Callithrix jacchus: one gene and its partners. The protein of the gene in region 4 purifies or fractionates together with the protein of the main gene of each other region. This does not show direct contact. Links are inferred from orthologs where the notes say so. Each region holds a gene or a part of one and is shown on either strand. Other genes may lie near its edges.

The links.
Region 1: the proteins of TACC3 (region 4) and CKAP5 purify together in Homo sapiens (co-immunoprecipitation; 5 studies listed by BioGRID and IntAct, with this or other methods). This does not show direct contact. The link is inferred for Callithrix jacchus from reciprocal best matches to the Homo sapiens genes TACC3 and CKAP5.
Region 2: the proteins of TACC3 (region 4) and SLAIN2 purify together in Homo sapiens (co-immunoprecipitation; 3 studies listed by BioGRID and IntAct, counting the BioPlex papers as one, with this or other methods). This does not show direct contact. The link is inferred for Callithrix jacchus from reciprocal best matches to the Homo sapiens genes TACC3 and SLAIN2.
Region 3: the proteins of TACC3 (region 4) and ENAH purify together in Homo sapiens (co-immunoprecipitation; 3 studies listed by BioGRID and IntAct, with this or other methods). This does not show direct contact. The link is inferred for Callithrix jacchus from reciprocal best matches to the Homo sapiens genes TACC3 and ENAH.

Annotation. Positions count from the first base shown.
Region 1 is NC_133511.1:111,901,149-111,906,809, forward strand, and holds the start of CKAP5 (cytoskeleton-associated protein 5), read right to left. Parts: upstream 3,794-5,661; 5' UTR 3,686-3,793; exon of another isoform or gene 3,601-3,685; intron 1-3,600. UniProt on the Homo sapiens protein: Binds to the plus end of microtubules and regulates microtubule dynamics and microtubule organization. Acts as a processive microtubule polymerase. Promotes cytoplasmic microtubule nucleation and elongation. Plays a major role in organizing spindle poles.
Region 2 is NC_133504.1:145,483,019-145,488,944, forward strand, and holds the start of SLAIN2 (SLAIN motif-containing protein 2), read right to left. Parts: upstream 3,517-5,926; 5' UTR 3,261-3,516; coding exon 2,872-3,260; intron 1-2,871.
Region 3 is NC_133520.1:23,669,510-23,674,740, forward strand, and holds part of ENAH (protein enabled homolog), read left to right. Parts: intron 1-3,003; coding exon 3,004-3,335; intron 3,336-4,537; coding exon 4,538-5,231. UniProt on the Homo sapiens protein: Ena/VASP proteins are actin-associated proteins involved in a range of processes dependent on cytoskeleton remodeling and cell polarity such as axon guidance and lamellipodial and filopodial dynamics in migrating cells.
Region 4 is NC_133504.1:191,421,796-191,427,468, forward strand, and holds the start of TACC3 (transforming acidic coiled-coil-containing protein 3), read right to left. Parts: upstream 3,964-5,673; 5' UTR 3,807-3,963; intron 3,721-3,806; exon of another isoform or gene 3,532-3,720; intron 3,381-3,531; exon of another isoform or gene 2,886-3,380; intron 2,123-2,885; 5' UTR 2,122-2,122; coding exon 1,963-2,121; intron 1,817-1,962; coding exon 1,674-1,816; intron 1-1,673. Other genes in the region: TMEM129 (E3 ubiquitin-protein ligase TM129), read left to right, coding at 4,517-4,721. UniProt on the Homo sapiens protein: Plays a role in the microtubule-dependent coupling of the nucleus and the centrosome. Involved in the processes that regulate centrosome-mediated interkinetic nuclear migration (INM) of neural progenitors.

The DNA of each region.
Region 1 (5,661 bases), on a different chromosome or scaffold from region 4:
TTAGGCCACTAGCCTCAAAGCTGTCCCAAGGGAAAAATTTATGCTGTCACAACCAAAAGTGCTTCTAAGACCTCTGGTAAGGAAGAGGGTGGTCTGCAAAACCAAGGAACTATTGAAACCAGGGGCTACAATGTGAAAGAATTGTTTCATTTTTGTACATTAGTATCATCAGCTTCTTGAGGAGAACAGTCTGATTCTACCTATAAATGCCAAGTGTAACACCCCAGATCCAGATAAAGCCACTGATGCTTCATATGCAAGCCACGTGAAAATGGCTTTATGATGACTAGGACATTTACCTTCTAAAAATGCCCACTACCCAGGTCATGGTAAATGCGGTGGTTAAGGGTGGACTCCTTAATGTGGATAACCTTACCACTGCAAAATCAAAAGACAGTTCGAGAAGCCTTACCAAATGTGCTGTCTGTTTCCTCTCATAGGACTTACAGATGCTAATAAAACCATTAGGCTAAGAGAATAGTGAGACAGAGGGCAAATGGATTCATCATGGAAGGTGGAAATTTTTAAATGGTTATTAAGAAATAAGGTAGAAGGATGTGGTGGCTCATGCCCGTAATCCCAGCACTTTGGGAGGACGAGGCTGGATGATCACGTGAGCCCAGGGGTTCAAGACTAGCATGGGTGCCAAAGGGAGCCCCTGGTAGTTTCCCAATATTAAGGGGTTCCAACCAGGTTTGCTATATTTACCCCAGTTTGGAGAAATTCTAAGTCAGGAGGCAGATTATAATGAGAAATCGAATCTGAAATTGATGGGGCAATAAGCAGGTGAGTCAAAAAGATAAAGACTAACAGGCCGGGTGTGGGGGCTCATGCCTGTAATCCCAGCATTGTGGGAGGCTGAGGCAGGTGGATCATGAGGTCAGGAGATCGAGACCACCCTGGCCAATATGGTGAAATCCTGTGTCTACTAAAATACAAAAAATTTGTTGGGTGTAGAGGCACGTGCCTATAGTCTCAGCTACTCCGGAGGCTGAGGCAGGGGAATCACTTGAACCCAGGAGACGGAGGTTGCAATGAGCCAAGATTGCACCACTGCACTCCAGCCTGGTGACAAAGCAAGACTCCATCTCAAAAAAAACAAAAAACTGACAAATGGGCAAGTGTCTCTTGGATGAGGACCCCAAGTTTTCTGTATACAAGTAGGTAAAATGGTCAGGGAGTGGTGAAGAGAAATTCCTGGGTCTCCTTCATATAGAAGCCCCAGGCACAGTGGTACCAAGAGCCATTTGTGAAGCCCTGAAGAGGGCTACAACTAGATTAAGAGAAGGCCAGTCATACTGGTTGACACCTGTAACCCCAGCATTTTGGGAGGCCGAGACAGAAGGACGCCTTGAGCCCAGGAATTCAAGACCAGGTTGGGCAACAAGGTAAAACCTCGTTGCTACAAAAAATTTAAAAATTTGCCAGGCATGGTGATGCACATCTGTAGTCCCAGCTACTCAGAGGCTGAGATGGGAGGATCACCTGAGCCCTGGAGGTCGAGGCTGCAGTGAGCCATAATTGCAGCACTGCACCGCAGCCAAGGCGACAGAGTGAGATCTGATCTCAAAAAAAAAAAAAAAAAAAAAAAAAAAAAGAGAGAGAGAGAGAACACAAAAACGTGTTGACACTACTACGAAAGTTGGAAGCCGTGTCTCCTATACATAAATGTTTTATGGGAATGGATAATATGTCTGGCTGGGGAACACTTCCCCTACCTAGAATTGCAAAAACAAAACCTGTTGATCAGGTCCTAATGGAAGCTGCAGTTAGAAAAGTGAGGGTTGGCTGGATGTGGTGGCTCGCCCCTGTAATTCCAGCACTTTGGGAAGCCGAGGTGGGCGGATCACTTAAGATCAGAAGTTCGAGACCAGCCTGCCCAACATGGTGAAACCCTGTCTCTACTAAAAATACAAAAAATTAGCTGGGCATCATGGTACACACCAGTAGTCCCAGCTACTTGGGAGGCTGAGGTGGGAGAATCCCTTGAACCTAGGAGGCAGAGGTTGCAGTGAGCCAAGATCATGCCACTGCACTCCAGCCTGGGCAACAGAGTGAGACTCCATCTCAAAAAGAAAAAAAAAAAAAGAAAGAAAGAAAAGCGTTGATGGAATTAAGATAAAAGTTTATAAGAGAGTTGGTATATTCAAACATACTTCATGTGAGAGCTCCACACCCCTCTCACACCTACTAGACCTATGCCTCTCTTCATCTCTATCCTTTGTAGCATCCTTTACAATAAACTGGTAAAAGAAAAAGAAAAGAAAAAAAAAAAAACAGAAAAACAGCTGCTGCTAAAACTGAACCGTCAGTTGTAGAAAAGTGCGATGGAATTACCACACACCACTGTTCATAATTCAAAGCTGATCAACACTTTAAAGTAATGGAGAATAAAATAAAAGTCATGTTAATTGTTATGGAATACCTTTGCTTGTCATTGCCTCAGTGAACAGCCTTTAAAAATGTATTTAAAATTTTTTTTTGCATGAGTTTATCAACTAGATTTAACTTATGCTGGCAAAATAAATTGCTTCCACCTTTATATCACTAAAGTTTATAAAAGCATTACAGTTTGCCCAGTCACTTAAGTCAAAAATCCTTTACAATTTTTTAAAGTTTCAAAAGATTCTTAGCTTCATTTATTGGCTCGTTAGGTCAAAGAAGGACTTTTCAGGGTGATGAAAATGGAGGAAGGAGGAGCTCACCTTTCTAAAAATGAGTTTTCAATTACTATAATTATGCATAAGACAGGCAGCATTTCTGGGCCAAGATTTGATGTCCTGGTCCCATGAGAATTAAATTAGAGCCATGCATAAATTTGGGGCAAGTTCTGCAAAAACCACTTCAACTTCTATTGATGCTGAATGAAAAACTCATTGTTAAGATTCATCAACACGAATATATTTTCTAACACACACTAGCCACTCTGGCAACATCCCTTTCACCATTTTCTATCCAAGAAACAGAACGGAATGCATTTCAATCCTGCCCAACAATGACCACCATTACAACTAGTAGGGGAGAGCTCAAAACTAAGAATCCAGTTCACTGAGCCCCGACCTTAAAGTAGCAAGGCCTGCTGGACCCCACATTGCTGGCTATTGTATTGGTTCCCCCACATCTCCAGGGCTAGAAGGACACCTGAACGCTCCCGACACCTTGAGAGAGTGAAAGCCAAACAAACGTTAAGGGCGGGGTGGTGCATGATCGGAATCGTTCACATCGCAGCAAGCCGGCAGGGGACACAGGTGTGCGGCCAGGCCCCAATACCGCCGTTCTCGTCACGCTCCGAGACGACAAGGCCCTTCTCAACCACCACAGCCCTAGGAGGCTCTTACTTATTCATTCACTTGACAATTACGCGAGGAGCACTCTAGCAGGGCCGGCTCCCCGGGCCCCCGCCCTGGTTCGGGTATATCGCAGCCGCCAGGCGCGGCCCGGTGCCGCCCGCGCTTCCCGGGCACTGCCACCCGCGCCCTGCTGCGGTGCGCTCTGGCCACCCGGAGCCCAACCCCGGCCTCCGCCGCACACGAGCGCCCACGCCCCCCGCCCTGCCCGCCGCAGGTCCCCCGGCCTCCGCCCCGCTTCGCCGCCTCAGACCTGCCGGGTTCGTGGGACAAGGGCGGCGCGCTTCTGAAGACCCCCCCGCCCCTGGGACCCAGAGACCACTGTACGCGCGCGATACCTGCCCTCGAGGGCCTCGTGGGTGGGGCAGGCCCACCTATCACTCACCTCAGCCGGGTCAGAACCAAGGGGCCTGCTCTAAGCCGTTTGAAACCGCTTGGGCCGCCGCACACCCCGCAGTGTCCTCGTTCTTTATTGGTCCTCGACGGACCGCCCATCAGCCTTTTATTGGTCCATTTGAAAGGTCTGTGGGCACGCGCCTCCTGCAGCCTTAAGGGAGCCGCGCGCTGCTGTGTTTCCCTCTGGACCTGGCGTTGCCAGCTCGGGTGGGGACGCCGGTCGCTGCGGGGGCCGAGCTGCCGACGGCCCCGAAAAGGAGGGCCAAAGGTGTGTGTAGGGCTGGGCATTTCTGACCGTCAGCATGCCTCAGCCTCCTGAGTTTAATGCTACCTTGAGGAATTTGTCCTACAGATGTACGCAAGTATGCAAAGAAAAAGAAAAATTTCCAATGATGTTTACTGCACTACTGCAGTAATCCCAAGTAGCTGGGATTACAGACTTGCATCACCATGCCCAGCTAATTTTTTTTTTTTTTTCTGGTAGAGACGGGGTTTCACCATGTTGGCCAGGGTGATCTCGAACTCCTGATCTCAAGTGATCCACCCGCCTTGGCCTTTCAAAGTGTTGTGATTACAGGCATGAGCCACTGTGTCCAGCCAGCACTGCTTAAGATTAAAAAAAAAAAAAAAAAAATTCTGGAGGCCAAGCATGGTGGCTTATGCCTATAATCCCAGTGCTTTGGGAGCTGGAGGTGGAGGATTGCTGGAGTGTGGGAGATAAAGGCTGCAGTGAGCTATGATCATACCACTGTACTCCAGCCTGGGTGAAATTAGATGTTTATCAACAGAGAACTTTTTACATGAATTATGGTATATCCATTCAATGGAACTCTATGCAACTGTTTAAAAGAATGTGGTTCATCTACATGCTGGAGTGGAAAAATGCACAAATTTTATTAATTGAACAAAAAGCAAGTTGCAAAACTTGTGCAATGATTTTATTATATATGGTTATAAATATATGTGTTTGAGGACATGCCTGAAAATGGTTAGAACCTTCCTGGAATTATAAGAAACTTAATAGAAGTGGGACTCGACAGGGAAGAAAATAAATTTTTACCATTGATATGATGTGTTTCTTTTTTCCTTCATAGAAGGAGCGAGATGTCTAGTGGGCAAAGTGTGAGTCAGGGCACAGAAACAAGGAAGTGCATCGTATGTATGGGACTGAACATGTGGGGTTGATTTTAGGACTGAAATTATGTTGGGAAGTAGTGGAACACAAGATTGACACAGAAGGTTAGAAGCAGTTCTTAAAGGATCCTGAATACCAGGGTATGGAATTAGTACTTTGTTAAGTGGATAATGGGGGGGGGCTATTAAGAGTTCCTGAGCAAGAGAGTGACAAAATCAGAGTTGTACTTTAGGAACATTAATTAGATTGATTGTCTAAAATGGTTTAGAGTTGGGAACCCAGCAAGGCGTCTGATATGAGGTGTTAGCGGTAGAGAGAATGAGAGCAGATTCAAGAAAGAATGAAAGATTTGGCAACTGACTAAATTAGTTGCAAAGGAGAGGGTGGATCCCATTTAGGGAGGCGAGTCAAAGAGAATTCCAGGATTTGATTGCCCAATGGAAGTAGGCAATCAGAAGAAGCAGGTCTCAAGGGTAGGGTGAGGAGTTTAAATTACAACCTGTTTACTGGTAGGTACCAATGAAGCATTCTAATGGAACCGTCCAAGTAGGCCTAGAAAATATACAATGGAAGCTGGAAGAATAGATGTAGAATCAATGATAAAGATTTGGGGATCACATTGATAGAGTGAATGAGACTACAGACAGGGGATTGGAAAGAGTGAAAGGATGGGCAATGAGGACAGATTCACATGTAGGAGAAGAAAGGAATGAATCAAAGCAATACGGTCATGGTAACCTTGGAGAAATTGATGAGGACATACAGAAATAGTCTTCTTCAGTC
Region 2 (5,926 bases), about 46 Mb from region 4:
ATATCACTTGTAAGAGTAATCATACTTTTGTGAAACTTTTGCTTCAGTTATTCATATACATGTAAATTCCAGATGATGAGTTAAATTTTATTTCTTATCATGAAGCTGAGTCCAAAAAAACAAAAGTGTGAAAGTGACTGCTGTAGAGCACTGTTTTCTATGTGTGTTCTGTAAGATACTAGCTCCTTGGGAGCTCATTAAGTTTACGACCAAACCATACTCTCTAGAGATTTACTATGTTCAAAACACACTAACATCTCCAAGAGCCTAGCATTAAAGAAAACTGTTTATTTTTGTTGAACCCAGTTTTTCTTGCATTTATTCAACCCCCGGAACCCATCCACTTTTTTTCTACATGGCACTTATGGACATCTTCAGAACTAGCACTTTGTGGCACACACACTTGGGAGGAATTCTACATCCAAGGAATTTCATTCCTCTAGATCAAAAAGAAAGTGCAACAACTAGAAGTTACAGAAGGTAGATTTTTAGCTTGCTAAGAAAAAAATCTACTTTGAATCTTCCTGCCACTGACAACCTCCCCCTACAACTTTTACCCTAAACACATACCCCAGTGCATTTTAAATGATTTATCCAACTTTCAGTTCACATAAATCTCAGGAAAAATATATGACATCTATAATATCAAGATATGAAACTAGGATCAAAACAGTAAGCAGGAATCATCTAGTCAAAAGAAACTCCAGGTATAGTATTTAAGAAAGACTTTCTTTACCTTAACAAAGCTCATGTTCAGGAACCAAAGCAGCCAAAGATTTAATCGGCTTCTCCAAGTAGACTCCATGTGTTCTAATAATACATAATCTAAAATGGGCTGATGAGTGCAGCTAATCCTCATTATTATGAGCATCATTATTATCATCACTTGCAAGAGCCATGTGACAATATTTACATAATTCTGGGTTCTTTTCAAGTGCATACATACCCAGGATTCCTCTGGGAGAATGCAATTTCACATTTATATCAAAAACTGTCACTACCATAGTCAGCTCTAATAACATTTGATATCACGTGGTAATAAAATAAAGGCTTGTCATTATATACTTAAGAATACCTCTGTTACTCAAATCTTCTAACTGGGAGTTACAAATACCTCCGACTGTGCCCTTGTAGCTGTCAGAGCATAAAATGCCCTTCCCGCTCTTTCGTCACTTACAGACTCCAAAGTCACCTCCTTAAGTCTGGTCCAACTACTTTGGACTACTATTTTCTTCCCAGTTACAGAGCACCGTCAGTACTTTTTGTTTTATCACTCTTTCCAGTTTATTAACTGCACAAAATTACAACCTCCCCCTACAACTTTTACCCTAAACACATACCCCAGTGCATTTTAAATGATTTATCCAACTTTCAGTTCACACAAATCTCAGGAAGAATATATGACATCTATAATATCAAGATATGAAGCTAGGATCAAAACAGTAAGCAGGAGTCAAACATGAGCTTTGTTAAGGTAAAGAAAGCAAGTCTTTCTTAGGTGGTAATTCACTGTACACTTTCCAGTTTACTTAACTGCACAAAACTTAGTTCTCAATAAACTATAATTGCCTTATGAACACGTATCAACACAATCTTCAGCATCTCCTACATCATCATGTAAAAGCTCACAAAATATTTCTTGATTTAAATAACTAGGCTTGAAAACAAATACTAGTTTTAGAGTTTACTATGTGCCAGATCCAGTGCTAAATGCCTACATGGATTATCTTACTAAATTTTCATTAACTCTATAGAGGTAAGTGCTATTATTTTCTCCATCAAATAGAAGAACAAAGTGAGGCTCAGAGTGCTCAAGGTCATAAAGTTAGTAAGTGGCAAAACCAGGGCCTGAATCCAGGAAAGCTCTTAAATAACCTCAGAAGACTGCAAAGTTCCAACCCTGAAATACCAGAGTATTTCACTAAATCAGAAGTTTTAATTTTAACAGAGCAGAGACATTTTAACTAAAAGTTAAAACTTAAGAGAAGGAATTTCCCACAGACATCTTTATAATAAAATGAGGGGGAAAGCCTCCCATGTCCTTTCTATTTACGAAAGTGATTATTAAGGTGTGGATCACAATTTCATAAAGAAGTAGCTTATGACAATACAGCTTTGGTTTAGAGTTTAAAATAGGACTCTTTTTCTCTGCCCCTAGGAGGACGTGGAAATGAAAGATGGATGTGATAACTCAATACAGACCTATGCAAAACGCCAGACTCAATTCTTGTTTTAGAAAATAAGAGCCAGGGCTCTTGTTCCACCCTTGACTTTTCACACAAAGCAGCACCATCCTCTGCCCTCTTCACACAAAGCAAGCTTTACCCCACTACCCAAAGCGGGGGTGCTGATCCACACGGTCTCCCCATACCCGACAGAAATGGGTCCCACACACTAACCACTGCATAGACGTAGACGACTTCGTACTGCCCCCGACCCCCAGCACCTGGTGATACCTCATCAAGCAGACCCCTCCCCTACATCCAAAATGTCCAGGGCCACCATCCGAAAGCCAGTATCTTACACAAAGCAGGATCCCTGCCTACAAAGCAGTTTCCCAATTCCGACTCCTCCCCAGGCGAACAGCCCTTCTCAACCTGCGCCAACCGACAGACCCCAATAGGATCCAGCACCCAGAGAGTCCACAAGCCAAAGAACGAGCTAAAACCCTGTTACTTGCGCACGCCTCGAACCCCCAACTCCAGCTGACCTTCCCTCTGCCAAAGCAAAAAAACCGTGAGTCCCCCACCACAGAGCGAACCTGGTTACACAAAGCGAGGCGCAGGACCAGAGGGACCCTCAGAGGACGCTCTCCGCCCCCGGGCCCGTCTCCGCCCAGCTCCGGCCCCGCGCCCCGCGCCCCGCGCTCACCAGCTCTCCTCCTCCTCCTCCCAGCCTGACAAACGCTCCAGCTCGTCGGGCCGCAGCGGCTCCACCTCGTCCAGCAAGCTGCCCTCGCCCGCCGCGAACAAGGAGGTGGCGTCCCGCAGCTCTTCGTTACTCGTCCGCCTCGGGCCCGACCCGGCCCCGCCGCCCGACTTGGCGCTGAGGCCCAAGGGAAAGCCCCGAGGAGACGCCGCTCCAGAGGAGGGAGTGGAGGCGCCGGCTCGAACCGGGCTGCCAGGCCCGATAGAGCCGGCACCCTGCACGGCCCCCGAGCGGCTTCTCAGCTGTTCGTTCTGTTTCTCCAGCTTCTTCACCAGCTCCTGCAGCTTCCGCACCTCCTGGTCCGCGTTCACGTTGGAGTTAACGTCCTCCATCCCGGCCCCGCCGCCTCAGCCGCCCGCTCGCTCTCGCAGAGACAGGGAAAGAGCCGGAGGAAAGAGGCGTCGCCGCCGCTCACTCTAGCCGAGGCGCCGGCATATAGCAGGACCAGGCCCCACCGCCAGGGTACCCCCAGCTCGGGTTCCAAAGCGCCGCTGGCCCCAGCCAAGCTGCCTCATCTGCGCCGGCTCCGGGATTGGGGGAGGCGGCGCCAATATCCGGCCTCTGCCGCCATCTTCCCTCCGTCCCTCCGCCCCCCCGCAGTCCGGCCCAGTCAGTGACCTCAGAGCGTCGGGGGTGGACGCGACCGCCCGCGATCGCTGAGAGGACCCGGCGCCGGCTCGCGGCGGGGCGGGGCCACGGACGGGGCCTATGGGGCGGGGCGGGCCCGTGACGGGGCGGGGTTTAGGCCGGAAGGGGCGTGCCGGCGGATGTGGGACGCGGCCGGGCTGGCTAGGGAGGGTCTCTGCAGGCCTGTAGGCGAACCGAAGGCTCGGCGCGGGCGGGGCTGAGGTGGCGCACACGGTCCTCGATCAGCCCCGCCTATTGGTCTCGGCGTTTCGGACCGTTCCGGGCGGGATATCAGTGGGCGCTCAGCCCAGCCGTAGAGAGACGATTTACTTTGTTCAGCAACTATCTAATCGATGCCTGTTTTTAATTGGAAATTGTCTCGGCTGACGGGAGCCTGAGAGACTGCCTGTGTCCTGTTTCTTTTCCTGAAAATAAGAAACCCCAGTTTCAGACAGTTAAGAGAGGTCCAAGGTCAAATAATCATAATTTCTTGAGTGCTTCCTACTGGCCAGACACCGTGCTAAGCACTTTTAAAGGCATTATCTCATCCGTTTAAACACAGTTTTCCCGACTTGAAGTTTACAGCATACTGGCGCAGAATTGGGCGATAGAAACCACTTATTTACTGCCTTTCTCCGTTTATTGACTCACAGGCTGCTCTTTGGATCAAGTGTGTCTTGACTTTTTAAAAAGTTGTTATAATCCCAGCACTTTGGGAGGCTGAGGCGGGTGGATCACGAGGTCAACGGATCAAGACCATCCTGGTCAACAAGGTGAAACACCGTCTCTACTAAAAATACAAAAATTAGCTGAGCATGGTTGCGCGCGCCTGTAGTCCCAGCTACTCGGGAGGCTGAGGCAGAATTGCTTGAACCCAGGAGGCGGAGGTTGCAGTGAGCTGAGATCGTGCATTGCACTCCAGCCTGGGTAACAACAGCGAAACTCCGTCTCCAAACAAACAAACAAAAGTTGTGTATGAAAAGCACTTAAGCACGGTGACAGATACTGAAGAATACAGAAAATAGTATGAATGTGAAGTCTGCCTTTATAATGTGGCAGCAAACCCAAATAAAACTTAAATGCTTTGTTTTGATCACATTCGTTGGTCTTCAGATTTCGGTTGTGAACTGCTTTGGCTTGTGTTTGCAGCTTTTCTTCAGTTGCCATCTCCATCCTTAGCTTAATAACAATGATCCAGTCCTATTACACCTGGGTGTGGACGCAAGCCATGACTGACCTGCCTCTACCCTTTAGTTCTTCTAGTGTCATATTTTCCTAGCGAGGAATATCCTGCCTGCCATAGCTGATTCCTTATCTTAAAACCCATACTCACTCATTCGGGAAAGCTATTCCCTACAATTCCACAAAAATCTAATTATTCTAGCGTATTCTAGCACTACCTGATCAATAGTTCTCAACAGGTGTTTGCACTTTTTTTAAATTGCATTTTTTCTACGAATTACTTTTTGTTTGTTTTTGTCAGTTTACTTGATTTGAGGAGACTGTTCATTTTTTCTTACCATGCCTAGTACACTGATACAGTGGACACTCAATACTTGGTTTGTTGAAAGTTAAGTAGACTGAAAGTTCTACTAAAACCAAGTAGCTATTTATTCATAGCAAAAAACTTACCGTGTTAAAAGTTTGCTGGCTAACTATAAGTCGAGTATTTTTCTAGCTATACAGGCCTAGTCAAAGAATGTGATTGTTTGCTAGCATAATTGTCAAGTAATATTTATTATCTATGTAGTGAACATCTAAATATCATTGCTGTTTCTGACCAGTCTATGACCTTTTCTGCCGGAGGATTAAAAATCATGACTACTTCATGTATAGCAGTTTTCACTTGCATTCAATGCTTTGTAAAATAGATTCCAACTAGTCAGTTTCTCTAATGGGAACGCTTTAAATATACTCCTTGAAAAGAATAGTTCACCGGACATTATGAAGTGAGCACTAACGTTTGTGGGGAAAGAAAAGCTTGTTGTAGTGTGAAACAATGAATTAAGAATCAGAAAGCCTGATGTGAGGTGCTAGCTCTAGCATAAATGCACTTGACCTTCATCACTGGTCTCTTAATCTCTGGTCCTTAATTTACTTTGGGATTTGTAAGTTGTAGATCTCCAATTATCTCTTCCAGGACCAAAAAGTAAAGGATTCTGTTGCGTCCTCATGGTTGCAAAACATAAGAGTAAATATATTTAGATATGTAGAGAAGTTCATAGTAGATAGATATACTTGGATTTTTAAATTCTATTGCCTTACTCAATGTCTTCCCTTTTTCATTCAATAGATATTGAGTATCGACTATGTGGCAGAATCAATCTAGGTATTTGGATGTTTAATAGGCCTCTTGAGTATAAGACAACTT
Region 3 (5,231 bases), on a different chromosome or scaffold from region 4:
GCTGGAAAATACTATTCAGGATATTATTCAGGAAAACTTTCCCAACCTAGCAAGGAGTGACAATATTCAACTCCAAGTAATACAGAGAACACCACAAAGATATTCCTCAAGAAGAGCGACCCCAAGGCACGTAATCGTCAGATTCCCCAGGGTTGAAATGAAGGAGAAAATGCTAAGGGCAGCCAGAGAGAAAGGTCAGGTTACCCATAAAGGGAAGCCTATCAGACTCACAGCAGCTCTCAGCAGAAACCCTATAAGCCAGAAGAGAGTGGGGGTCAATATTCGACATCCTTAAAGAAAAGAACTTGCAACCCAGAATTTTATATCCAGCCAAACTAAGCTTCACAAGCGAAGGAAAAAGAAAATCTTTTGTGAACAAGCAAGTACTTAGAGATTTCATCACCATCAGGCCTGCTTTACAAGAGCTTCTGAAAGAAGCACTACACATAGAAAGGAACAACCAGTATCAGCCTTTCCAAAAATATACCAAAAAGTAAAGAGCATCAGCATAATAAAGAATTTACATCAACTAATGGGCAAAATAGCCCCCAAGCATCAAATGACAATATTAAACTCACATATATTATTACTAATCCTAAATTTAAATCGACTAAATCCCCCAATCAAGAGACACAGATGGGTAGATTGGATGGAAAGCCAAAACCCATTGGTATGCTGCATCCAGACCCATCTCACATGCAAGGATACACAAAGACTCAAAGGGATGGAGGAAGATTTACCAACCAAATGGAGAGCAAAAATAAATAAATAAAAAGCAGAAGTTGCAATTTTTGCCTCTGATAAAATAGACTTTAAAACAACAAAGATCAATAGAGGCAAAGAAGGACATTACATAATGTTAAAAGGATCAATGCAACAAGAAGAGCTAAGGATCCTAAATATATACGCACCCAATACAGGAGCACCCAGATACATAAGACAAGTTCTTAATGACTTATAAAGAAACTTAGACTCCCACACAATAATAGTGGGAGACTTTAACATCACATTGTCAGTATTAGATCGACGAGACAGAAAATTAACAAGGATATCCAGGACTTGAACTCAGACCTGGAACAAGTAGACTTAATAAACATTTATAGAACTCTCCACCCCAAATACACAAAACATACATTCTTATCAGTACCACATCACACCTACTCTAAAAGTGACCACAAAATTGGAAGTAAATCACTCCTCGCAATCGCATAGCATTTCACAGGTTTAAATGAAATATTGGTTGGCTGCTTGTTATTTTCCTCCCTTATTCCTTCCTGTCTCCATTGTTAAGCACAATTATTGGCATAAAAGAGGTTTTCAATACCCATTTTTAGACTGCATTCTAGCCTGGGCAATAAAGCAGTACTCCCTTTCTCTCTCCCTCTTTCTCTTCCTCTTTCTCTTTCATTCTTTTTTTTCTTTTTCTTTTAATTCTTTCTCTCATTCTTTTTTTCTTCTTTCTTTCTTCTTCTTCTTTCCTCTCTTTTTAAAAAAAAGAAAAAGAAATCAGGAAGAAGAGTCATGTCACCTGGGTGGTTGGCCAGGGATATGTTACATTCCTGATCTGAAAGGAGGGCACAGGCAGCAGAGTCACAGCATGTGGGTGCTGTGCCCAGTGATAATGTCACAGTGACTCCTGTGAGCAAGACCCAGGGGAAAATAAAACACACCACCCTGTTGCTGAGCCAAATGTTATGTCACAATCTTTCCTGTGGGCAGGATGCAGGCAGCAGAAGAGAGTCACATCTCCTAGATGATGAATGCAGAGGGATGTCAGGAGGCTCCTAAGAATGGTAGGCTAACGCCCTGTTTACAGGCATAGACAGGTACCTCCAATCTTCTAGGTATTTGGTCTAGTGATATGTCACAGTACTCAAAATATGTGGGGCCTATGCAAAATAGTCACATTACCTAGGTGCTAGGTCCAGGGAGATGTCATCATCCCACATTTTGGCATGGGCCTGGCAGAGAAGAAGGACACATCACCTAAACAAAACAAACAAACAAAAAATATGTATATATGTATATGTTATATATATATGTATATGCCTATGTATATACATTATATACATATGTGTTTATATATACATCTATGTGTTATATAGATGTATATGTATGTATATACACATATAGAGAGAGAGAGACATACACACCCAAAATGTTGCCTCTGGGTATGAGATTTCAAATCATTTAAAGTTTATTTCTTCTTTCTTGTCTCTTTTTCATTCAGCACATTTTTTTTGCTGTTGCTTTTGAGAAGGAGTCTTGCTCTGTCACCCAGGCTGGAGTGCAGTGGCGTGATCTCCGCTCACTGCAGCCTCTGCCTCCTAGGTTCAAGAGATTCTCCTGCCTCAGCCTCCCAAGTAGCTGGGATTACAGGTGCACACTACCATGCCTGACTAATTTTTTATATTTTTGGTACAGATGGTGTTTCACCATTTGGCCAGGCTGGTCTTGAACTCCTGATCTCAAGAGATCGACCTGCCTCAGCCTCCCAAAGTGCTGGGATTACAGGTGTGAGCCACCACACCCTGCCTGTTCAGTAAACGTTTATTGAACTATTGCTGTAGCCAGCCATTGTATTTTCTGAAATGATAATTACTATTTGTACAATTAAATTTGATGTTAGGAAGGATATTACAACTTTACAAAGTTTTTCATTAAATGATTAAAATAATGACTTGGTCATTAAAGTATGTTGAGTTATTTGGAAAAGTCATTTGCTTGCAACAGTACTCATGAAAAGTACAGAATAAAATTAAATGTTAGTGTAATATGCGGAAGCATTCAGCCCCTGTGATGTCAATAGGAAAAATGTTTTTTATTTGTATGAAACGTAAGTCATCTCTATCCAAGGTGGCCATTACGTGGGAAGAGAGATGTTGATTGGATGCTCTACATTGCTTTTATTTGACTTAGAAATAATTTACATAGCTGAAAAGAATTACTTTTTCATGATGATTATCTATAGATGCATGTTTTTACCTTTTTTTTTTTTTTCAGACAACTACAAGAACAGCAACGACAAAAGGAGCTGGAGCGGGAAAGGCTGGAGAGAGAAAGAATGGAAAGAGAGAGGCTGGAGAGAGAGAGGTTAGAAAGGGAAAGGCTGGAGAGGGAGCGACTGGAACAGGAACAGCTAGAGAGAGAGAGACAAGAACGGGAACGGCAGGAACGCCTGGAGCGGCAGGAACGCCTGGATCGGGAGAGGCAAGAAAGACAAGAACGAGAGAGGCTGGAGAGACTGGAACGGGAGAGGCAAGAAAGGGAGCGACAAGAACAGTTAGAAAGGGAACAGCTGGAATGGGAGAGAGAGCGCAGAATATCAAATGCTGGTAAGAAGTTTACAAACCCTTCTGTGTTCTTGTATCTGAGCTTGGATGATGTCTCTTGTGCAGTCATGTGTTAAAATATTTCACATTTGAGATGCTTGGGATTAAGCCATACAATTTGAAATTATGAAAAAAGTACAGCAATTACTGCTTTAACATTTTATTTTTGTTTCTATATTGCTTTTATTGCTTGGAGACTTAAAGAAAGCTCTTGGAAATTTTTATTCTGCCATTCTAATTATTCTAACTCCCTATAAATTGGCTATAAAGTGTAAGTGTGTTTTTATGGGAAATTTTATACTGGATGAACTTCAAATATATTTCCCATATGAGATCACATAAATTGTCTCAAATACTATAGGCTCTAGTAGCATTCAGCAAGAAATTTCCTTGATTGCATTCTAAAGTTTTTGAAGGAAGAATTAGTAAGTGAAAAATATTCTCTAAAACTGACCAGTTAATTTAAGTATGCTTTCTAGTATTATGAAAAATTAGTGAAAATTATGAAATCTGATGTTACTGAAAGACAAAAGGGTTAAGATATGGCTGAAAGTTTGAGATATTTTAACATTTATTAAAATTAACATTCATTGTAGGATTTAAGAATATTCCTTATGGCCTATATAAAAAGTCTCAATGTGGGTTAATTAAATAGTGGTTTGTTGGTTTATTGTTTAAGTTAATTTATATATTTTTAGCTACCAAATTATTTTCTGGAGTGATGGCCAACAAAACAAAACTTCCCCACAAATAAGCATCCAATAGGAGGTTTCTCACACTTTGTATTAAATGTTTTGCCAGTTTTACTAGTTTTGCTATTTGTTGTTTCAAAAAAAACTAAATTTATTCTTCTGTTTATGGTCCTATTCATGTGATTTTAATGTTCTTTTTCTTGTGGACTAAATATTAAAAATTAAGACTAATACTAGCTTTTTCTCATAAAGGATAAATAGTCAATTAAATTTATTAATCCACTTATTAGATAAAAAGGAAACTTATCCTCATCTGAATCTCAAAATGTATTTACAAGTTAAAATATTCTTTGGTGAAGATAGTTATTTGCATTTGTGCCTAATTCTCTGGTACTAACTGTAGTCTACATTTATACATTGTGTCTGAATGCTGGTTTTGTGGCTTCACTAGCTCCCTTTTTCTCTCTCCTTTTTTATCCTGTCTTTTGCTGCTGCTTTCCACCTTCTGTCCAGCTCCATCTTCAGACAGCTCCCTGTATAATGCTCCACTTCCTGAGTATTCCAGTTGCCAGCCTCCTTCAGCACCTCCTCCATCATACGCTAAAGTCATCTCAGCTCCAGTGTCAGATGCCACTCCTGATTATGCTGTAGTGACTGCTTTGCCACCTACTTCCACACCCCCTACACCACCACTGCGACACTCAGCGACACGTTTTGCAACATCTTTAGGTTCAGCCTTCCACCCTGTTCTTCCCCATTACGCTACAGCTCCTCGTCCTCTGAACAAAAACTCTCGACCTTCTTCTCCTGTGAACACACCCTCTTCTCAGCCTCCAGCTACGAAGCCCTGTGCCTGGTCTACTTCCAATTTTTCGCCCCTCCCTCCATCTCCTCCAATAATGATTAGCAGCCCCCCAGGCAAAGCTACTGGTCCAAGGCCTGTCCTCCCTGTTTGTGTTTCTTCTCCTGTGCCCCAAATGCCTCCATCACCGACAGCACCCAATGGGCTGGTTGACTCTGTAACATATCCAGTGTCTCCACCGCCTACCTCAGGGCCAGCAGCTCCTCCGCCGCCGCCTCCACTGCCTTCCCTCGCATCACTGTCACACTGTGGATCTCAAGCTTCTCCTCCTCCAAGCACCCCTATTGCCTCAACTCCCTCATCCAAGCCTAGTGTTCTCCCTTCTCCCTCTGCAGCTGCCCCTGC
Region 4 (5,673 bases):
GAGAAGGAACAAAGAACTCTAACTGGTTGTGATCAGTTAGTTGTAAACACCACTGCACTCGGACCAGCCCTAACATCTGTTTTAAAGTTTTGGGCTAGCTGGGTGTGGTGGCTCATGCCTGTAATCCCAGAACTTTGGGAGGCAGAGGCCAGCGGATCACCTGAGGTCTGGAGTTCAAGATCAGCCTGACCAATATAGAGAAACCCCATCTCTAATAAAAATACAAAAAATTAGCTGGGTGTGGTGGCACATACTTGTAATTCCAGCTACTTGGGAGGCTGAGGCAGGGGAATGGCTTGAACCCAGGAGGCGGAGGTTGTAGTGAGCTAAGATCACACCATTGCACTCCAGCCTGGGTAAAAGAGTGAAACTCCGTCTTAAAAAATGGAAAATTAAAATTAAAACTTGGCCAGGTATGGTGGCTCAGAACTGTAGTGCCAGATACTTAGGAGGCCAAGGCGGGAGGACTGCTTGGCCCCAGGAGGCTGAGACTAGAGTGAGCTGAGACAGTGCCTCGGCACTCCAGCCTGGGGGACAGAACAAGACCCCATTACAAAACAGCAGCAACAGTTTTAGATGCTTACATCAGCAAAAAACCAGCAGAAAATCATGCCTCTGGGTCCCTTCCCAGCCTGGATACAGATGAGGTATTCCCGGCTGCCCAGACAGATAAGTTCAGCCGCAGGGCCAAGAGCTGCCTCCAGGCTCCTCCCTTTCCAGGCACACACAGAAGCTGCCGCCATCTGCTTGCAGGTAAGTGCCAGGTCGGCCAGCAGATTGCCAGGCCTCACCCGACAGATCCCTCTGACCATGCAGACTGACTGGCAGATCACACGATGTGGTTTCTTTGCCCACAAGTCTGTCTGCTCTTTCCAGCGGCTAAGGTGCGTGGAATTCAAGAGAAATGAAACTATGGAACGCCCTTCCCGGAGATGGAGTCAAGATGTTTCATCAAATTACACAGGCAAAGATCGAGGCCAATCTGTTGGCAGAGGCACAGCAAAAATGTAAAGTACGGGCTGGGCGGAGCCGCTCACACCTGTAATCCCAGCACTCTAGGAGGCTGAGGCAGGTGGGTCACCTGAGGTCAAGATTCAAGACCAGCCTGGCCAACATGGTGAAACCCCATCTCCACTAAAAATACAAAACTTAGCTGGGCGTGGTTGTGTGCACCTATAGTCCCAATTACTCAGGCTGAGGCAGAACAATCTCTTGAACCTGGGAGGTAGAGGTTGCAGTGAGCCGAGATCATGCCCCTGCACTCCGGCCTGGGCAACAAAGTGAGACTGTCTCCAAAAAAAAACCCCACAAAACAAAAACAAAACACCCAAAAAACATACCAGTTAGTTGGGTGTGGTGGGTGCCTGTGACCCCAGCTACTGGGGAGGCTGGGAAGGAGAATCACTTGAACCCAGGAGATGGAGGTTGCAGTGAGCAGAGATCACGCCACTGCACTCCAGTCTGGGTGACAAGAGCAAAACTCTGTCTCAAAAAAATAAAAGAAAAAGTAAGTTAAAACTTATTCCAAGTATTTGATGATCGACTTTTCTGTTAGTGAACTGACCACATGCTGCACCCTTCAGAAGAAATCCAGCCAACGGGACAGAGCGTGCCTGCAAGAGCTGTCGGACAGAGCGGTGACCTGCACTACGCCCAGAAGTGCCAACACTTACTTGTCCTTCTGTGTCCGCCCTGGGTGAGAGTTTTCCAGTCCCAGGGTGTCACCCTGAGCCAAAGGAGCCTCGAGTTTGCTGGCCATGCTAGGACTCAGAATCCTGTGCGTCTGTGGATCCCGCAGAGGTGTCTGAAAAGTCACCTGTCGGGGGGGAGTGAGGGGGAGGGCGCCCGTTTGTTAGTTCAGCTGTCGCAGACACACCGGCAGTGTTCAGCAGCTCAGAGGTCACCAGGAAAGCAGGACCCAGGGCGACCTGGCCAGCCACACACGGTAGAGGTCACACTTACCTTCATAGCTTTGGCCAGGTTCTTGGGTGGCACATTTTCTTTCTGTGACTCACAAAGAACAGATGATCTTCCGGTAACTTCCAGGGGTGAAAACAGGAAGTCGCAGTTTTCTGTACTTTTCTCACTGCTGACATTTTTGTTTAAGATTTGCAGACTCATTCTGGAAAAGCAGAACATGTTCGTGTCAGTGCAAGAACAACACTACCACGTTCTCTGGACAGACATGCCAGCTGCCCCACAGTGCTGTGGGGGCACAACCCTTTCCTGCAGAGGCATGCTCATCACTCTGGAGGTGACACCTCCCCCAGGTGTCTTGTGCCAAGTGAGGCTGAGAAAGCCTCAGACTGAGACTCACTCTCCAGCCTGGCAGGGAAAGTCATGGGCAGCACTGCTGCCTCCTGGGACCAAGAGCTAAAGGCCTTCAGGCTGAGACAGTGAGAAGGAAAAACCAGGCTTGCAGAACCTCTACTGCCATATTACTTCGTCAGGCAAAGGTCAGGAGACAGGAAAGTCCTGGCCTATAAGAAGCCCAGAAGATCCAGAGGAAGCCGTGGTCTTCCCACAGGCCTCTGCATGTGGCGTGAGGCACCACCAGGCAGCAGAGGGCAGAAAAGCAGGACAGCGGCTCTGCTCTGCTCCTCCCACCAGGCTAGGGAGCAAGACCAGACCAGGCTGAGAGGGTGAAGGTCCAGAGCAGGAGCTGGGAGAGGCGCGTGGACAAGAGAAGTCCAGAGCTGAGCAGCAGGTGCCAAGGAGCATCTACATCAGGCCCCCGGTCAGGCCCAGCTTCCAGGGCTTCATGCTGGGCACCCACACACCTGCCACCCTTTCTGCCTACAGCGTTCCCAGTCTAAGAAAAAACGTAGGCAGAAAGGCTGCCAGAGAGAACTGAGTGTCGACCTGGGCAGGGACCCCACGGACACCTGGTGATGGGGGACACCTGGGAGGCTGTGATTCGAAGAGCAAAGTTAGGGAGGGTCCTGGAGAAGGAGGGGCAGCCGGGCCAGGTCGGTGCTGTGGCTTCAGAAGCCCACTGTGGTGCTCTGTGTGGGTGGGGAGGGAAGCAAGGAAACCTCAGGCTTCTGCCCGAGGAGGAGAGGCCAGACCAGACCCGAGCCCGACCACTGGCACAAATGGGACTTCCCGACGACGCTTAGGTTTTTGGCCTTAACAACCGGGTACAGCGCAGGGGAAGGGGTGCTGGATCGCTGGGGGACCCGCAAGCCTGGAACTCAGGGAGAAAGTGACTCGGAGGAAGCCTTTCGACGGCCTGGAGGAGCGCGGGAGAGCAGCAGGCCCAGGCCTGGTCAGGCGGGGCTTTTACTGACTATGGAGCCACGAGGGCGGCTCTGGGCAGACAAGGGACCGGCCCCAAGCGGGTGCGTTCATTCTACTCGGGAGCACAGAGGGCTGCGGCTGCGTGGAAGCGGTCGGGGCCCAGCTGGAGTTGACACCAGGACGGGGGCCCGAAGGGACCAAAAACCAACGAGGGGCTCCGCGAACTGGGAGCCAACAGAGAGCCAGAGTGCGCGGCCGAGAGGCAGGAGAGGGTCGAGGAGAACAAAGGACCTCGGGGCGCTCGCTCCGCCGTCGGGCTCGGCCCAGCTCCAGTCTCCGCCGGCCACCGTCCAGGGGGCCCAGCCCGGCAGTCAGTCCAGGGCTGGGTCCCATGACAGGGCACGGGACGGGCTCCGGCGGCGGCCCCGGGAGGAGCCGTGGGGGACCCTTCCCGGGGAGAGCGGCGGCGAGGGCGGGAGTGCGAGGGCCGAGGGCGGGGCGGGACAGCCTCGCGGTCCCCCGCCCCGGAGCCCCAGCTTCCCAGGGCCGTATGGCCGCTCGCCTACCTGCCCGGCTGCCCGTTGCCGGGCTCTGAGCCCGCGCCGCCACCGCCAAGAAAGAGGGGTCCGCGCCTGCTCCGCGCCGAGGACCGAGTCTGGCTGCCGCCGCCGCCGCCGCTACCGCAGCCCTTGATGGCCGCCGGCGCGCCCGACTTTCAAACGCGGACGGTTGCCTCTACGCAGCCAATCAGCACGCAGCCGGGGGCGGGACCGCAGCAACGCGGGCGCCCAATAGGAGCCGTGCCTCACCGGCCCCGCCCCCTCGTGCGCCGACGGTTTCGTTTCCGGAATGGAGGACAAGTTGGGAGCATCTGAAGCTGGGACCGCTGGCTCGCAGTCGCCAGGTGAACCTCCGGCTCAGCAGCGTACGCTACTGGGCGGGGCGTCATGACCAGGGCCTGAGAGCCGCTCGCTCAGGCCTAAGTTTCCTCAGCTGTGCATTGGGACCAGGTGCGGCGCCGCCTCCAGGGCCGGCCCCGAAGAGGCCGCACCCTCACGGGGACTGCATCTCCCAGAGTGCCCTGCGGGCGGCCGGACTCCATCTCCCAGAGCACCCCGCGAGCGGCCGGGCGGCGGGACTCCGTCTCCCACAGCGCCCCGCGGGCGGCGGGGTGGCGGGGTGGCGGGGTGGCGGGGCTGCGGCCGCCGCTCCCGCAACCGACAGGCCCGGGACTGGGCACAGTGGCCTCGCCGGACAGCTTCCCGGCGGCGGCGCGATGGACAGCCCCGAGGTGATCTTCCCTCTCGCCTATCTGGTCTTCGCCGTGTGCTTCGTGTTCACGCCCAACGAGTTCCACGCGGCGGGGCTCACGGTGCAGAACCTGCTGTCGGGCTGGCTGGGCAGCGAGGACGCCGCCTTCGTGCCCTTCCACCTGCGCCGCACGGCCGCCACGCTGCTGTGCCACTCGCTGCTGCCGCTCGGTGAGGCTGCCCGGGCCGGCCGGCCGCGTCCCCTCCCGCGCCGGGCTTGCTGGGAGGCCAGGAGGAGGCCCCCGGCGGCTCCCCGAGGCCGCAGCTGGGGAGAGGTGTCAGTACCCCAGTCCGGAGGGACCGCGGCGTCGGCTGAGCGCGCTTAGGGGCGCCGCTGGCGCTGGCTTGCAGGTGACGGGAGCCCAAGTTCAGAACCTTGGGCAGGTGATGCCCCCGTCCACCTGGCCTCAAGTCCTGGACCGCCACACGCCTGGGGGTCACAAGACCGAGCAGCCTGTGCTTACCGTGGTTGGGGGCAGTGGCCAGAAGGAAATGGTTGACTGATTTCAACAAGGGGTCGGAGAGGCTGTGTTGAGGGTGGCACTGCTCTAGGCCTTGGAAAGTGGGTGTTGGCAGATTTGGAGGCAGTTCCAGTTTGGGGGCACCCCAGGGGCGGAGGCTGGGGAGGGCCTCTGTATGCAGGTGGGACGCTCGTTGTCCGAGCACTGCTGGGCTGGGCCCAGGTGCACCTGACTGTGACGGAGTGCCGACAGGTGCTAGCTGGGCCTCTAGAAGGTCCCTCTCTCAGCAGGTTGGATGATGGAAAGGTGGGAGGTTGGGGGAGCAGTGTCTGGAGGGGGATTCCAAGGAGGACAGGGGCATACGCAGCTCTGGGAAGACGGATGGCCAGTGGCCGGCCAGGTCTGCCGCTCTGGGGACACAAGAGGGGTGACCATTCATCCTGGTATGAGGATGCAGCCGCCTGGGCCCAGGAGAGCTGGAGGCAGGTGTGGGGTGGAGGTGCCCAGGTCTGCCTCATGGAGACAATGGGCTGGGGCCCCACCTGAGAGATGGATGGGGCTGAGTCGGGCTGGGGCCCTGACCAGACCACTCAAGGGTACTAGGTGGGTTTCTGTAGCCCTTCCAGCTGCACCCTCCCCAGAGGCCTTTGAGGGACTGGGCG